Linked DNA regions of Arabidopsis thaliana. The protein of the gene in region 2 interacts with the protein of the main gene of each other region in a pairwise test. Each region holds a gene or a part of one and is shown on either strand. Other genes may lie near its edges.

The links.
Region 1: the proteins of HSP23.6-MITO (region 2) and AT3G56360 interact in a two-hybrid assay, tested with the Arabidopsis thaliana proteins (one large-scale study listed by BioGRID).

The regions. Positions count from the first base shown.
Region 1 is NC_003074.8:20,894,665-20,898,293, reverse strand, and holds AT3G56360 (uncharacterized protein), read right to left. Parts: upstream 1,963-3,629; 5' UTR 1,654-1,962; coding exon 952-1,653; 3' UTR 547-951; downstream 1-546. Other genes in the region: AT3G56350 (Iron/manganese superoxide dismutase family protein), read left to right, coding at 2,669-2,978, 3,084-3,130, 3,218-3,343.
Region 2 is NC_003075.7:12,915,120-12,918,622, forward strand, and holds HSP23.6-MITO (mitochondrion-localized small heat shock protein 23.6), read left to right. Parts: upstream 1-1,806; 5' UTR 1,807-1,969; coding exon 1,970-2,168; intron 2,169-2,305; coding exon 2,306-2,739; 3' UTR 2,740-2,991; downstream 2,992-3,503. Other genes in the region: QWRF7 (QWRF motif protein (DUF566)), read right to left, coding at 1-112, 190-882; AT4G25210 (DNA-binding storekeeper protein-related transcriptional regulator), read left to right, coding at 3,327-3,503.

The sequences.
Region 1 (3,629 bases), on a different chromosome or scaffold from region 2:
TATATGTCATTTTCATTTATTGGATTATTTCCAAAAAAATCCCAAAAAGGAACCTTGTATAAACCAAAAAAATAAAAAAATAAGATTGTGAAATGTTAAAAAAAAAATATATATAATGGTGATCATAATTAAGCCATAACTTAAGAGTCTTAGATGGTGATGCCAATAATTTAGAGGTGGTTGATTAAGTGTAATCATTCACTTCCGTAAGTCCGATCGTGAAATGTCTTGTGCTGCTAAATGTGTATCGCTTGTCAAAGTCATAAACAATGAAACTCCTTGGCCCCTTTAGATTAGCTTATTGTATGTCATTTCAATTTATTGGATTCTTTCAGAGAATTCATAAAAAAGAAGAAAATAAACATTGGATCATTCATAGCCCATAGGAACAAAGGCCTATACCTTCCATATATTTACGGGCCTTAAAATCTAAATCCAATATCCAAATCCATATAAATGATCCAATCAAACAATCCATAATTTTCCATCACGACCATGTTTTATTCATTTTCTCTCTTTTCCATCTCCGGAGATCGACTCCGGAATTTTCCGACGGAGGTTATGAACTCTAATGCAACTTCTGGCAGTATCAGCTATAGGCTTTGCACTATGATCACTAACAGAAGTTTTAAATCCACCTACACTTTTGCTTATTGTGGTGTTAATGAATGCATAATTGCATATAGATCTTACACGGATTAAGTTGTCTACTTGTCTTGATTCAAATCCTCTATACTACAATAGCAACAAAACTAACAATGTTCTTTGATTAAACAAATCACTATAACCAACCAACTTTGACCATTTTATTTACATTTATATCACCAATCCAAATTCCTAAAAAATGTTCTGTATTAATAACAAATGTAATTTGATCATCCATAAGGGTTTCATAATCAAAACCCAAAGAGTATAAATAATTTACAGTGCAAATCCTTTGACAATCACTGCTCATTGACCAGTCTGCACCAACCACGAATTATTCAACTGTGACATAGCCGTTTCCCTAAAACTCTTGACCTTAACCAAACAGAAATGGGTGCAAACCGTACCCATACCCGACCGGACCCGGGTCGTTTTCAATAGATAACAAACCGGCCCAGTATCCGATCCTCTTCCTTGCGCCACAATCCCCCACGCGCTTGTATCTTCCCCACACGCGCCACCATCGTGATCATCATCATCTGCTATGTCACCGTCTGCGAGCTTCTCCACCAATATAACTCCTTCCGGCGTCCTCTCTTCTCCTCTACCCCACTTTCCTTCCATCTCTGTCCAATCCTCCGCCTTTGGATTCGTTGCCGTCGTCGTCAAACCACCATTAGCCTCCGCGTATAAATGCATCAATAACGGCGACTCTCTAAGATTCTTCACGATCTCAACCACCGAATCTCTCAACCACACATCTAGCTTCTCCCTCGACACAACAGATCCACCGCGTTTCCTTCCACCGATCCTTTCAATCTTCACCGCCGCAGACGGTGGTGACAAATCCTCCATCGACATCGAAATCTTCCCGATCGCACACATATTCCGTCGATTCGTCACTGGAACAACACATGACGATCGAGAATTCAAATTTAACGTGCGACGATCACAACGAACGGCGCATGCACTTCCTCCTCCGCAACAAATCCTCGCAGACGTCGCCATCTTCGCCTACCGGAAGATTCAATTGCAGAGACGAATAGGAATCGGAGAAGATATGCTGCGATTAGATTGGAGATTGCTTCACGCTGACGAATTCTCTTATAGAGTCAATCACACCAATGGTTGCTTTTAAGAATACGTTTTACTGACGCAGCCACACACAATCCAATGGCAATGATGAATTATTAAATACCTAATTTTTTTATTTCTCCAGCACGGAAGTTGTGTAAGTTGTTTGATCGGACGGTTGAGATTTAGAGATGGTAGAAATCGCGTTTATCTTATTCTTCACGTTATCCTCAAAAGTCTGAGGTGGCTTAAGTAGGTGATTATTCCCTGTAAAGTGTTGACGATATAGACTAATTAGATATCAGATATGGACCGTTCGATGTAAATCTAACGGTTGCTATTACGTGAAGCCGGTACGAGATGGAGAACGTGGCGACGCGGTTTAGCTGTGTGCATGGCTTGGGCGGGCACACGCTGGTACTGGATTTAAATTGTGGTGAACACGTGTTATCTCTGTTATTTATAATCTAGACCATAAGATACGCCACGTCAGATTCCACGGTGGACAATGTCTTTTAGAATAGATTGGGCCCGTCGTTTTTTATTTTTGAGGAAAGTTTCGGCCTTTTCGGTATGGCCCAGACCACTAAACTATTGTTATACTTATGTGCGTTGATCTTTCGCATATAAGGATTGGATCATTGGACTGAGGTTTGGAATGTTAGGTGCGTTTTACGTTTCTCCTGCCATAAACTACACAAAGACAAAAGCACATGCAAAAACAACATAAATATGCATCAACCTAAGGTTGCGACACAAATCGAGCAACTATGCAAAACGCTTAAAGCCATGAAGCCTTAGAGATTGACAAGTAGATCAGTCAAAGTTTACGTGGCTTAGTAAAATTATATACTTTTGTTTGCTAAGAAAATACTTTTATATACTTATCTGAATAAATCCACCTCTCGCTTTATTTCTATTTTCTAGTGTCTACATATATAAAAAGATCATGACGACCACCGTTATTATCATTATCTTCGTTGCCATCTTCGCTACGACTCTTCACGACGCCAGAGGAGCAACCATGGAACCGTGTCTCGAATCAATGAAGACTGCTTCGCTTCCTGATCTTCCGTATGCTTATGATGCGCTAGAGCCAGCAATCAGTGAGGAGATCATGCGGCTACACCATCAGAAACACCACCAGACTTATGTCACTCAGTACAACAAAGCCCTCAACAGCCTTCGTTCTGCCATGGCTGACGGTGATCACTCCTCCGTCGTCAAACTCCAAAGCCTCATCAAGTTCAACGGCGGAGGTCAAACCCTAGCTTTAAACGACTAAGTTCTCATTAAATTCTTCCGATAGGTGCTTGTTGATCGTAAGGATTTTGATTTTTTTTTTTCTGTTGCTTTGCTTGTAGGGCACGTTAACCATGCAATCTTCTGGAAAAACCTAGCCCCGGTTCATGTACAAAAATGTTTTTTTGTCGTCACTCCATGTGTCTATTTCTGATGAGTTTAATTGTCTCTTCTAAGGGGTCAAATTGATATATAGGAAGGAGGTGGCAAACCACCGCATGATCCTTTGGCTTCGGCGATCGATGCTCATTTCGGATCACTAGAAGGATTGATCCAAAAAATGAACGCGGAAGGCGCTGCTGTACAGGGATCTGGATGGGTGGTAAGTTTTTTTTCAGAATCTCATTAACAATGTTGGGAACACAATTATTGGTTTTCAGATGAAAGTTTATAAAAATTTCTGACAGAATATCAAAATTCATTTCAATTTGAATTGGATATGTGATGTATATAGGACTCTGTTCGAAATGAAATTGAAAAACATTAATTTCAAAAAAGGTGTTAAAAAGGAAAATCTAAACGGGACAATAAGTTTGGTTAGTGTATAGTGTAGTATTAGAAATATCTATAATTTCATTTTTGTTAATAAACAGGAACTTTTGTATTTC
Region 2 (3,503 bases):
TGAGAACTTCACGTACTTTGATATCTTGACGGAGCCTTTGAATTTCAATCAAATTTTCTACAACGTAGTTCCTCATTTTGTATATCCTAAGCCAAACCCAAAACAACTGATCCTGAAACCATTCACAGAAACAAATTAATAGATATTTATAAGATACAAATTTAAATATTTTTCATATAGTTTTTGTACCTCAACGTTGATCTTAAGGTTTGCCATAGTGGCTTCAGTTCTTGCGTTAACAAACCTCCATTGAAGTAATCTGTTTTGAAAAATCCTAAACCGGTGATAATCCTCCTCTTGTACCGGAGATACTTTCTTCTGCGCCATGAAGTACTTCAAAACTCCTGCCACCGCTCCACCGCCACCGCTTCTTATCTTGGCCTTGCTTACGGGTGACTCAGGCGGCGTCATGCACATTGAAGTCGTCGGAGCTGAGCTGGACAGAGGCGTCTTCATAGTCGAAAGTCTTCCAGGAGACAACGCCCACGCCGATGGTGAGCTGGCTCCCGGCTTTACCCCTCTCGATGAAGCGTTACTACGAGGACTACCACGCGTACGTTGCTCCAAGTACCGAGCAAACGACTCTCTGCTTCTACCGTTGTTTATCTCTTGAGATCTTGATGCGCTGTTTCTCGCCGGGATTATGTTCTCGCCGGATTTAGAGTCGGATGATCCGATGGGTCTGGAGGATCTTGTTGTGGACTGTGATCTGGTTATCATCACTCGTTTGCTTGAATTGGAAGGCGAAGAGGAAGAAGATGAAGAAGTAGAAGACGATAACGAGGCGTTTAAGGACACTGGGAGAGAGATTGAAGAGCTTATAGTCCGGCTCCGGTTATTATTGGGCGATGGAGGACGGAGTCTCCGACCGGTGGTTGCCATTTTCTTCTTTAATATATGACGACGGTTAACTATATGACTATATCATACAAGACTTATATTCGGTTTCGTTTCTCGACTCACTTGCCCCTGTCCTTAAGACTCTTATAGTAAAGCTGGAATTATATGGTTCAAGGAATCGTCTAGTCTATATACACTGGTTTGAACAATTGTGATATATAATATAGTTAGGGGTATATTATATTTAATCTGTTAGATAACGGTTGGGGTACTTGAAGATCTGTAGGAGTTGACAGCACGTAGAGGCAGAGGTAAGAACACTTCTGCATGTAGTGTGTCTACATAATAAAATATAGAGTGTATTTTTTACACACACCAAAAAGAGAGATTATAATTAATGTATTATGTCAAAGCATATATGAAGGTCAGCTTAGCTAGAGACACGTCTTTTGTTTATCTCTCGACTAAACAACATGGCGTTTTAATAAAATCAAAACTTAAAAGGTCCAATTCAGAACGGCCCCATAGTATATAGTCTACGTTGAATAAATAAACCTCAAGATAGCGTCAAACTCTTTAGTCTTTACCCAAAAATATTTTTTTTTAAATAACGTCAAAACTCTAAGTCTTGACCTCAACACCAATATATATTTGCCTTCTCCAATATCTGATTTTTTTAATTGTTTATCCGAGTCTTCTTGGTCTTTTCGAATGTTTGCCCGAACCAGACCTTCCCACGTTCGGTGGTTGGTGGCCGCCTCGGCCTTTGGTTGATTTCTGTCCACATTTTGGTCCTTTTCATTCATGTACCATGTTCTAGGGTCATTTGACTTGTTGACCATAAATCTACTAAAACAGGCCTAATACCGATGGGCCGTAGCCCGTTAATAAACAAGACAATTTATATTTGTTTCACTTAGCTTGGGAGCCACGGATCTCTAGAAACATCCAGAGAAATATCAATCTCCCCACTTCTCCAGAACATTCACTCACTGACAATATCCCACCTTCAACACTTAACTCCTGTATATAGTCCTCCCCTGTCTCCAGTTTCGTCGCACACAGTTCTCAGATAAATACTAAACTCACTGTTAAAACTTTCTCAACAAAGCTTCCTGTTTCTCTACAAATGGCATCTGCTCTCGCTCTTAAGAGACTCCTATCATCCTCCATCGCTCCACGTTCCCGTAGTGTTCTTCGTCCAGCTGTTTCCTCTCGCCTCTTCAACACCAACGCCGTTAGGAGCTACGACGACGACGGCGAAAATGGAGACGGCGTTGATTTATATCGCCGCTCTGTTCCTCGCCGCCGTGGTGATTTCTTCTCAGGTAACAAACCAATTGTTTCGCTTTTCCTCCAGATCTATGTCTCTCTGTTGTTAACGTAGCGAAAATCTAGTAAGAAAACAGGTATTAGCTTACACTGAGCTCAAAATCTTGACATGATTGATTGTGTCTTTGTGTAGATGTGTTTGATCCGTTTTCGCCGACGAGGAGCGTTAGTCAAGTGCTGAATCTGATGGACCAGTTCATGGAGAATCCTCTGTTATCAGCTACTCGTGGCATGGGAGCTTCAGGAGCTCGTCGTGGTTGGGATATAAAAGAGAAAGACGATGCTCTGTACCTGAGAATCGACATGCCTGGGCTGAGCAGAGAGGATGTGAAGCTGGCTTTGGAGCAGGACACTCTGGTGATTAGAGGAGAAGGAAAAAACGAGGAAGATGGTGGCGAGGAAGGAGAGAGCGGTAATCGGAGATTCACAAGCAGGATTGGATTACCGGATAAGATTTACAAGATCGATGAGATTAAGGCGGAGATGAAGAACGGAGTGTTGAAAGTTGTGATCCCGAAGATGAAAGAACAAGAGAGAAATGATGTTCGTCAGATCGAGATCAACTAAAAACGTCGACGTTTTTTTCTGTTCTAGTTTTGTTGATAGGTCTTTGAATAAGAAGTGTGTGTAGTTTGGCACGGTCGATGTTGAGTCATGTAGTCTCTAAAGACTAAAAGGTTATATGTTTCTTTCTTGAGACGGTGGTTTTTTGTCTTGCTTAAACCAAAATTTGCATTCCAAATCAAAGCACTAATTAAATAAGTTCCTAATCGTGTATTCTTTTAGCTAACTCGGTCGGTTTACATGCCTTTGTGGTTATGAGACTGGAGCTTATGGAACGTATTTGGGTTTAAAATTTTCTGTAGACTAGGAACTAGGAAGACTTTAAGACGAATTCTGAGGCTGCGTAAGTTGTCGACGGACTGGTCTATTAATAACGCGTAAAAGTGTTAGGCCCGTTCGAGTAGAATAGCGCGTTGGACAGCCCAACTTGAATGAATCGATCGACTTTTATTAAAAAAACAAAAGTAGGGCAAAAAACAAAAAACAGAACCTCGACATTAACCTAAACCTAAGAGCAAAGCAAATCGACGGCGACGGGAAAATAGAACCGCAGATCTCTGTCTCCTCTCTCTCTCGTAACTGTTTGTTCGATGGCACCGAAGAAGGCGGAGGAAGTGGTCGAAAGCCCTCCTGTTTCCAGTGAAGAAGAAGAATCTGGCTCATCTGGAGAAGAATCTGAATCTTCTGCTGAAGTTCCGAAGAAAGTCGAGTCTTCGCAAAAGCCTGAATCTGACTCTGAAGGCGAATCTGAATCGGAGTCCAGTTCT